Linked DNA regions of Saccharomyces cerevisiae S288C. Changing the gene in region 1 together with any one later gene gives a genetic interaction. Each region holds a gene or a part of one and is shown on either strand. Other genes may lie near its edges.

Region 1 (4,327 bases):
TGACTCCTGCAAGGCTGACATCGTATGGTGCATCAAAAGGAGCAATGATTGGTTTTCACAAGTGTATGAGCAGGCATTTCAGAAGTTTGTCCACGGAATGTAATAAAACTGGAATAAAAACACTACTGGTGTGCCCGGGAAAAATCAAAACTAATATGTTTATTGATGTCCCTACACCATCTAAGTTATTGGCTCCTGACATCATACCTTCCCAACTGGCACTAGCGATAATCTCTGCGATGGAGCATAATCATCTGCAAACACTAAATGCCCCATATTATGTGAACCTAGTTCCCTTTTTCAAAACTTTGAGTTGGCCATATAGGCATCTCTTAAAACATTTCAGTGGAATGGACCATGTAACGTCAACCAGCCCGCGAGCAATAAATCCGAAGAGAAGTGCATAATATTTTAGTCTATTTAATACATTTGACGTTATTTGATCTTCACGTTGTTTATATATATATATATCAAGTATGCTATAACGCTAAAAAAAAATGCTCATAATACTATGCAAAATCTTGATGTCTTTTGACTTCTTTCCAAATTTCTAAATTTTGACGGGCATAATTTCTCATATATCTGGAATAATGCTTTAAAATTTCTGATAAATCTACTTCCCTTTCTTTAGAAAATTTAGGTAGCTGGTCATTTTTGATGACTTTTGAAATGACCTCCAAATCATTCTCAGTAACTTCCAATGATTCAGACAGTTGTTCAATTTCTTTCTTCAAATTGATACTTGCGGTATGCGGATCTGTTTCTTGATACTTCACAGAATCTTTTACCATTGATGCCAATTTGTTAAATCCATTGAATAGTTTGCCACCATATGATTTCCCACCGCTACCTGTATTATTATTAGGGCGTTCCAGATTAATAGTATGACTTTTAGACATTTCGTTGTCAATTATTTTGTCAACATCCTTATATTCATTGTTTTGCGCTTCCAGCTTCTCCAACTGTGCTCTTTTGGAATTCAGAGACTTTTTAATCATTTCATTTTGCAGGTATTTCAATTTTCTGTATTTGATCAATTCTCTTGCAGAAGTTGCCATATGAACAGATTCATTTAAAGGCTCATTTATATTGTAGTATAGTCTTCCAACTAATTTTTCTAAAGAAATCGAGGACCCCGAAAAGGCATTGCTTAAGTAAGAAAGCTGTTCGGCCAATTCCCCAACTTGAGCCTGTTCATGGGCAAACTGTGCAAATACCTCACCGATTTCATTGTAATCCGATTTCAAATCGTGATAAGTCTTCGTGGTTCGTCTATTATACTTATAAATCCCGTTATCTAACAAGTTCTCATATTGCTTGTAATCCTGTTCAATATTAGTAAACGACTTACTTCTTTCCTTATCCATTTTTTTGTCGTTGGACTCCTTATTCAACAATAACTGTGACGAGGAGCCCGGTATTGGTAACATGGCATGAATTCTAGTGGTGTTAGTGGGATCTAGTGGATTACACTGGAGGATGCTCTTCGGTAAAGATGAAAAAGTGGACGAACTGTTAACAAATTCATGCCAATTATGGTTATTAGGATCCAAAAAATCGGTAATTATAGATGTTTTTGTGATTTCTTCGTTCGTCAAAAGTTTGTTCAAGAACTCAGTGAGCATTCTTATCCTATGCCGTATTAACTTTTCATCACTATTATTGACCGACGCATGTATCACAGACAATGATAGATCTACTGAACCAGAACCTTCTGAGGGCAGCAAATACTTTGAACTCGAACCAGTTATTGACTTACCATAATTCTTTATTGACTGCTTTTCTGGAATCGGCGGTATCAACGTCATAGGAAACAATCTTATCAAGATACTTCTCAAACTCTCGAAATCGCTGTAACGTCTCTGAACGGTAGAATTTTCAAACTGAATAACATAGGCGATGTAGGCTCTTCCTTGACCTTCGGAAACTCTTTTCGCTTCAAGTATGTGTATCCTAGCGGACTTCTTTCTATTACTTACAGAAGGTTCTTCTGACGCAGAGGTCTCTCCGTTCATGGAGTTAATACTTCCACTAAGACTTGTTCTACATGTTTCTGCATTCGATTCTTGGTTTAAAGGCAATAATCCCTCAGAGTCATCCTCGTAATCTTCATTCGGGTTCTTTAGGTTATGGCTTCTCATACCGGGTATTTCTAATAAAGCTGATTTTGTGAATCCTGTTGGCCCCTCCTCCATGAATGGGTTGTCTTTTTCTAACAGGGCTGTGTGTACTAACTCAGTTTCTACTTTGTTATTGTCCCCCTTTCCAACCTTACCCTTTTTTGGGCTCTTTTTTGGCGATCCAACTCCATTCTTAGAAATTTCTGCCTCTGCCACATACTCAGTTGTCCCATGAGGTGGTTCAGCCTTTCCTGTATTCCGAGTTTCCGAATTCAATTTAGCATTTTCTTGGACATCATTTAAGTCTGACATTGTGTGCTGTAGAAGACAACTTTTCTAGATGGTATGTTCAATTGCACCACCAGTATTCGAGCTAGTCATCTCTTCATTTTGGAGATGACTTGCTGTAAATCGATAAATATTGGCTTACTCAATAGCCATATCTTAAAGGGGGCACAATGGGTGAGTTGTCGGGTAAGGGAATGTAGATCACGTGAATGAAAATTCAAGTGTTTTTCGAAAAGTTTCACCATGGCGATGAGCAAGATTGAAACAGCACTATTGTAACTATATAATTGCTAGTAAGCAAATAAGCCAAGCCTTATTAAAATCCGGTGAAAAGAATTGTTTAACGAACGTTACAAACTCTATACCTTTTTTTTACCAGCAAAATGGTTGGAGGTGCTCTCATCTGCAAATATTTACCACGCGAAGAGCAACTAAAGCTTATATCAGACTTGATTCAGAATGACAGCTTAGAAGAGGTGCTGGAGTTGATTGAAACTTCGCCACTGGATATAACGACGGACAGCAACATTGAAACACCAATCTTTGAAAAAATTACTGAGCAGGTCATTGCGTATGCTAGTATAGACGGTGAAGCCAGGGAAATGTTTCGCTCTTCGAGGGCTGAAATGAACAAGGCGCTAAGAACTTCTGCACAATTACTATGTTGTTTACCCAGTGTATGGCATAAATTTCAGGTGTGGATGAGCTACCGGTTAAATGACATCATTAGCGAAAACTATAAACATCTCTTCAATGACAACTTTGGAAAAAAGATTGTACAACCATTTTTCGATTCTTTTGCTGAGGAACAAAACGCTAATATCAAGCATGAAAATCTGCACTTAGATATCCTTAGCCTGCTTCACTACTTAGAAGTTGTATATTTATTTGACGAATGTAAGAATGGTATATCGTCCAAATGCCTAGATTTTATCATTGTTCCATTGTTAGGCTGTAATTCGGAAGAGATTGCTGATTCCTGCTCCAAGTTAATGAGATGGCATATCAAATATTTATCGAAATGCTGCAATACCGATAGTAACTTTGATAAGCTCATTTGGACATTTATCAAACAATTGTACGCTGAAGGCTCCCAACAAGCTTGGAAGCAAAAGAACAGTTTATCTTTTCTCCTAAGATTCCTTTTAGCAGCAGAGTTGTCTCCTGAACTTATTACTTATATAAAGACCGATGCTTATTGGAGGCACATTCAAACAGAGCTGGATAATGATGTGCACGAACACAGAAAATTGGCACTCTCAATTCTTAAATTAACAATTCAAAAACTGTCATCTCATGGTATAACATTGCAAACAACATTTTATAAATGCAATGATCTAGCAAATATCGAGATGCTGGGTAGCTGGAAGAAATTCACCACCTTATATGAAATGATTGCTCTGGACACATCATTGAATCAAATACAAGCGGCCAAACAAGATATAATAAAAATTTTTGATAACGAGCATTTACACCATAGTTGGGGCCTTATCTTGCTTTCTACGGGATTGAAATCATCAATGGAGAGTGTCAGAAAATACATGATGACGTTAATGTTCTCGATTACAAATATGTCAGCATTCTCTTCAAACTTGCCATTATTGACAAAAACTCTTCTTCCAGCTGCAATGTCCGCTCATTATTTTGATGTAAAAGGTGTCAGTTGTCCCCATGGTGAAAAACTTTCATTATTTGTCAATAACTTACTTTCCCAAACAACAGAAGGCATATCAGATATATTATTTGAAATTTTGAAATTATTGGTGGAAAAAGGGACCTCTTTTGACCCTTCTAGGATATACTTGTCCTACGGTATCTTAGTTTTCTTCCAGAATAACAAACAGAAAACAATCAACTCTGACCATTTGAGTCTGATCAGGAAATTGTACGATTTTGCAGCCGAAGAAGAGGTTCTCGAA
Region 2 (6,628 bases), on another chromosome or scaffold:
AATTCTGATTGGTGGTGTTAGAGTTATTGTTGGCAGTCCCGAACGAAAAGGGCGTTTTGTTTTGTTGAGGTGTATTGAAGTTCACTAATATTAAAAATCATGTAGTTTACAGGTTCGCAGGTTTTCGTTAGTAAATAGGAAGAAATTGTATAGGAGATAAAATTTTGATCGGAAGACAACCGTCCAATGGAAAGAAACATACTTTTTCAAAACGATCAGAGCTTATTACTGTTGGACTGTGCGTTGCAATGGCTCTCCAATAGCGTCTTCAGGTATCACAATCGACACGTCAAATATCACATCTGAGTGGTGCTAACACCATTTATTATTTTCTATAAAAGTTTGAAGAAAAAAACTCATCGGACCCGTCCGGGTTGTCTCAAGTTCTACAAAAGCATTATGCTTACATTAATAATAATAAAAAATACAAAATACTTAAAATAATCATACATGAAAGGATACGTAAATGTCTGAGGGCTCCTTATTATATTTTCGAAACCCAATACAAAAAAGAGATTAAAAAATTAAGAGAAATCCCTTATTATTTAGTACTACTGTTCCGCGCATCCTGGATTTTGTCTAGCACATCATCATAAGCAGCGTCAATGGCATTTTCCTCTGCATTGTTCATAAATTTATCAAATCCAGGCGCATCGGTCGGAGGAATATGAGCATTATCGTTCGTTCTAGAAGTATTGGAGCCTGTGGATATCGGATCAGTGGTAGGGGACGCATTAGCACTTGAATCATTGGATTGGGAGGACTGTTGTTCATCCTTTGTTCTGAACGCGGTCTCTTCTTGGTTTCCCTGTTTTTTGAAAATATGATGCAAGTGGTACCCTTGGCTATGCAGTTCATCAATGACGCCAAGGATAGTAGAGACGTCATTCTTCAACAGAAATTCCTTTATCTGGTCACTATCTAAGGATTGTGCGGCACGATTTAAGATTTCTTTGTCCACTGGCAAATCGCCACCACCGACAAGCTTTTCGTGTTCTAGTTCTCTTTTAATGATAGAGTATTTGTTTTTGATATCAACTTCATCTCGAAATTGTTGATCATTTGCTGGTACGTCTTCGTGATTTACGTTGGAGTCGTCACCTTCTCTGAATTCGACGGCATCTTCTGCATCTGGGCTTGACTTTTCGACTATTGCACTACCGAATGGCATAAGCGCAATATGATCTGAATTTTGTAATATAGATGAGCTTAGTAACATTCTTTGACAGCTTTCGGAATTGGGTTGTGCTTGATTTCCCCCTTTCCGACTTTTTGAGACGGCCTCTGGTGATTTCAAAGTGTTGTTATGTCTTTGTTTCAGCAGGTCACAGCCTCTTTCCAAACTTGCCTCTATGAAGCATAATCTAATCAAAGCTTCCTTACCTTCCAAATTTAATTGTCCATTCAGTTTTAAATCAAAAAGATCATGAACCACTTTACTAATCTTGATACGTGCCAACGCGATTTTGGCCATGAAATTCTCAACCATTTTGTTGTAATGTTCGGAATTATCCGCTTTTTCAGTTAATAAAAGTGATAGTTGGTCCTGTAGGCTTGAAAATTGGCTATCTTTGATATCTTTATCGTCACTATTAACCCTTTTCAACTCCCCTTGAATATTTCTTAAAGCATATAATGAAATTTTTTCCTTAATGTTCTCTGGCATATACACATAGTCCACGTCCAAAGTCATCAAAGATGAACTTTTCCTCACCGCCTCTGCTAGAGCTTTAGACGATGCCAAATCCAATTCCGTTCCTAACATGGAAAAATAATTCAATCTTGAACACATGGGTAATATTTCGGCCAGCATCACTACACTCGTGGAACTTAAATTATTGTAGTCGATATGCAGACGGACAAGATTAACAAAAACAGGTAAAAAATCAATCAGCGTCGGAACACAGTGGGGGAAGATGGCAGGATTGTTCGATATATCCAAGAATTTTAAATTTTCCAAATAACATAAAACGCTTATCAGTTTTAAGACCTCGTTATTCTCAAAAGTGTCGTGTTCGTTCACTCTCAAATTTGTCCCATTTAGAGATAAAAATTTGAAGACGTTTTTCTCGTTAGCTTTTTGTATTTTGCCTAAAACAGCATCGGTGAAAGAGGAAAGTTTGCCATTCAAATCGTTAAAACCAACGTCTAGACCTGTCACTTTTGATTGAACCATCCACTTGGCCAAATCATCACATTGGCTCTTAGATAATCCATTATACGCGAGGCCCAATCTCTCGGTTGCTATACAAGCAACGAGGATGAAGTTTTTGAATTGTGCAGAATTCATCTTGGCCCCGGAAATGACAATTTCCTCCAAACCGCCCATGAGGGCAATAGAAGCTGTCAAAAGGTCCCAGTTCATGTCGGATCTATTTTCCAAGTTGCATTGCATTCTCAGAATTTTTGACTTCAAAGAAGATTTAGAAGGCTTTTGTACATTTGTCTTGATGGAAGGGACCATTGTCAAATCAATAGAGTGCAGAGACTTGGCCTTGGAGACAAAATAACACAGAACTTTCCATCCTTCTTCATCCAAGGGGGTGTTTCTTAGAGAAAGTTTTTGGAAATGCTGTTTGTAAACCAGCGAACTCAAAATTATTCTAAGCATTTGCACGGTTAATTGTACACCGTCCAACGAAAGACATAAAACGGGAGCAATGCTCAAGAAATCGCTGAACGACCAAATTTCCACCATAGAAGGTCTTGGGTTACGTAACTGTAAGATGGGGATAGGGTCCGTCGAGCCCTTTTTCAATTGCTTCAATGTGGCTGGTATGGGCAGAATTTCTCGCAAGTGACAACAACGGGTATACACAATGTCGTGAGGTATCTTCAAAGAAGGTGGGGGAAGAATTTCTCCTTCATCATCTGCGTTCGTACCGTTGGTATCACTGGACACCATGGAGGCCAAAGAGGATGTGGAAGCACCCCTTCTTGAAATCATTGGCTTATCGATGGTCAAATGGCTGGCGGTCTTACTGACAGTGACTTCTTCTTCATTGTTGGTCACGATACGTTTCAATTCGTTAGGTGCCTCTTTGGCTCTGGCCTCTGCAGCAGCTTCTGCAGCGGCCATAACGATGTTTCTCCTTTGAGAATTGTTATCCTCCTCGTCGTGTGCCTCCACTTCGTTCTGCTTTTGAGGGGCCATCTCCTCTTTACTCTTGGCATTTGCGTCGTCTTCCTCGGGATTTAATAGTTTTAATTGCCCGGTCCCCCCAACGACAACACCCAAACTAGTCGATTCCATGATTTTTTTGCGTTCTTGCGGAGTCAACCTATGAATGACAACAGATCCATTAGGCTTCACTTCCACTTCACCTTTACGAGGGTTTTTACTGCATATTTGTTGTGGAGGATCGTTGAAATAGGTGTTCGTAGCAAAGGAGACGTGTTTCAAGGGCCGTATATTCTCGAGGCCGGGGACGGTGGTTATCTTTGAAGGGTCGAACTCCATTGAACTAGAAGACCATAGGGACGTCGATGAGGTGTCTGGATTATTGACGTTTGCAGAAAGGGAGGAGGCATTGGTGCTGTTGTTGTTGTTGTTCCCATAAGAGGTAACTTTCCTTAAAAAGGCGCCGAATTTATGAGAAGAAGGTGTCTGATTATTATTCTGCGCTGACGAGGAAACGTCCGAATTGGAATCCACTGTGTCTACTATCGATGCGTTGCTTGGATGCTTCTTCCTGAAGGCGGAAGGCAATTTGGGTGCGTCGGGATGCGGCGGAATGGGTCTTCCCTTAGCGTCAAATTTCTGGTGAGCAAGTGATTTGGCAGGTTGTGGTTTGTCGTTATGTAATGAGAACGAAGCGCGTCTATTTTTCTTGGTTGTGGGAGACGCAGATGACTTAATAAAGTTCCCTTCTTTGAAGGCGGCTAATTTGTAATCCTTAGATTTGTAGTAGCGCAAGAAATCCATTAATCTAGGATCAGGTCGAGAGCCGCCATAGTTATGATCGTCTGCGGGGGAAGTTCCGTCGACTTTACCCTCTTCTGGTGAGTGGTATGTGCGCATACGGCCATGGTAGTAGCTTTGCGGATGATTTTCGTAATACACTTCTGATTCCGTCTTGGATCTTGTTAACGGTACCACAGTATCGTTATAAGAGGGTGGAGCATTGTACTGCAAAGGCGGTGGTGATTCCGCAGATATGGTAGCCGTTCTTTCTCTTCTTATGGCCGCGCCACGGTCCACGTGAGTCGGAGAGGGTGAGCGCTCTTTCCTTTCTCGTTCCTTCTCCTGTTGTTCCTGATCCTTCTTCCTATGGCCAAACAGACTCTTAAAGAATCCGACCTTCTTAGGTGCAGGAGCATCTTCCGTGTGATGGTGGTGGCGGTGGTGGTGATGATGTCCGGAGTCAGCCTCAACGTTAGACAGGTTAGTCTCCACCACTGACTTCGACCTACCCCTAGGGGGAGGAATGTTTGTGGGAACGGATGTAGACCCAGCGTTAGCACGCTGATTATCCATTAGCAAGCTCGCAGCTACGGAGTGACGGCGTCCCTTATCGTTTGAAGAAAGAATGCTGCTGGAAGAGTCTACAGACGTTTCGAAAACGGGCGGGCGAGCAGTGTCCATCTGGATGTCAGGAGCCACACTGTTGGCCTTGGACTCGGATTTCCCTGGTCTGGAGCTCTTGCTGGTGGAGGCACTGGGCCTGACCAACCATCCAACGTCGATGCAGGGGATTCGGTGCTCCTTAAGCAACTTTTGCGTGTCCTTGGAGTCCATGGAGCAGTTGTAGGGCTATCTTGTATATTTTGCGTATTTAAGTGCGATTATGCGAGTGCCTGAGTGGTGTATATGTATGTACATATGAACGCTTTAAGGCAGAAGCTTGTTATATAAAGGAGAATGAGAACGCAGCATTTGCTTGTACAGCCAGATGCTTCGAGTGAAACACCGTTGCGTAAATTGAACCTGAACGTTCTAGATGCGAAAACAATACAATAAGCCAATAACGTAAACAGTCGCGCAGCACGAGGAAGGGGGGAGAGCAAGCTGTCCAGGACGGGTGAACATCGAACGGGGCCGACGGCCTAAAAGAGAAGCTGATGAAAAAAAAAAAGGCCCGGGCTACCATTGGAACAACGGGTCCGTAGTAGGTAGCGCACCCAACAGTGCCTCCAACTGCACCACACACTTGCGCTGTCGCCCTTTTGATGCTTCGTCTTCGTCCTCTATCTGCATGTTGTAATCAGACCCGTAGCGCGACCAAATGTCGTAGTCGTCAACATGCGGTGTGGCGTACACCAACTCCGGTGACGACGTCCAAAGTAGCTGCAGCGGCATTTCGCTCGCGTGCCTGATCTCACAATCATGCAGCACAGACCTTAGGTCCCTGGTGCTCATTGCAGTTTCGCCAATAAACAGCATGGGGATGATGATAGTCCGTGACTGTTGCCAGGGAAATCTCCACTTGGGTCGGTTGGTACAGCCTGTGTGTTTTACCGTTGATGGGCCCATGTAGTGGGACCAGTCATCCAAGAGCCTAGCATAGCTTTGACGTAGCGGCGCCGTCGCGGCGCCGCTTTCAAAGCTAGCCGGGTTGGCGATCTCGATGGGTATTATGGTGTTGCATTTCTGCAGGAGGTCGATACAGTCGGTGATCTGGTGTAGGGTCATCGCCATAGCAAACAATTTCTGCGTCAGTCCGGCAGTACGGCCACTAGCAAAGTCTTCGTCAGTAAGTGCCACAATGTCGTGGCACTTTGGTACTAGACTTTTCAGAATCTCCAATTGTTCGCTGATGGCTTCACAGCGCTGAAAACAGCAGTAAGTGTTGACCAACTTACCAAAAGATGCATTTATATCCGTGTAACGCTCCAGTCCGGAATAATCAACAAACATGGCTTGCGGTTTTCCTGAACACTCACCTTTTAGTATTCTTTTTTTCTTTTTTTTCTATTTTTTTTTCGACATAATTATTATTTTTTCTTGAATTATTTACTGACGCAAAGTTCTGACCACAGAAAAATTCCACGTCTTATTTTGCCCATGCCAGCCGTAGAATACGCACACGTGTACGCATGCTCCAAGTGTTATTGTAACTGGATGGTGCGCTGGTTTAGGCCTGTAAGCGGTCGTAAAGGAAAACCGGATATTATGTTACCCGCTTCTCCTACGGCATTACTAGTTCCTTTTTTTTTTTTTTTCAATTTTTCCATTGAGTTTTCCATAATCGGTACAGCAGCGTTTAATTTCATTACCTTTTTCAGAACAATGGGGGAGAGTTGTCAAGAGAATTGGCATACATAGAGAGGGTTAGCTGTCGTGCGTTTGTATTTTTTCGCTTATGCAACCATGAAGGATGTCTTACAATGGGCGATTGACCACTACGAGACAAGAGACCAACTGGTGCAGAAGGGAATTTGGAAAGGTGAACTCTACCATGACTCTATCTTTAAAGAAAATAGTAGAGGCTGGCTCTGGAAAGCTTTGCTTCTGTGTGATGAAAACAACAACTGCTTGTTAACTGATAACTTTAAAGGTTTGGACCTTAACCAGTTCGGCTTGGTGCCAGTGCCTATGCTGGCAGATGGCGACAACTATGACGAAAATCATAATGCAAATGTACCTAAAAGGGTCTTGCACTCGAACGTTTCCTCCTCAGTGGGAATC

What was found. Genes that interact genetically often act in the same process or in processes that back each other up.
Region 2: mutations in ATG20 (region 1) and MHP1 together harm fitness more than expected from each alone (negative genetic interaction), as found in Saccharomyces cerevisiae (2 studies listed by BioGRID).

What each region holds. Positions count from the first base shown.
Region 1 is NC_001136.10:256,124-260,450, forward strand, and holds ATG20 (Atg20p), read right to left. Parts: upstream 2,433-4,327; coding exon 510-2,432; downstream 1-509. Other genes in the region: YDL114W (short-chain dehydrogenase/reductase), read left to right, coding at 1-407; TRM3 (tRNA (guanosine(18)-2'-O)-methyltransferase), read left to right, coding at 2,792-4,327. UniProt on the Saccharomyces cerevisiae protein: Required for cytoplasm to vacuole transport (Cvt), pexophagy and mitophagy. Also involved in endoplasmic reticulum-specific autophagic process and is essential for the survival of cells subjected to severe ER stress.
Region 2 is NC_001142.9:359,359-365,986, reverse strand, and holds MHP1 (Mhp1p), read right to left. Parts: upstream 4,739-6,628; coding exon 542-4,738; downstream 1-541. Other genes in the region: FG-nucleoporin NSP1, read right to left, coding at 1-84, 203-203; YJL043W (uncharacterized protein), read right to left, coding at 5,084-5,857; GTPase-activating protein GYP6, read left to right, coding at 6,311-6,628. UniProt on the Saccharomyces cerevisiae protein: Essential for the formation and/or stabilization of microtubules. Binds to microtubules in vitro.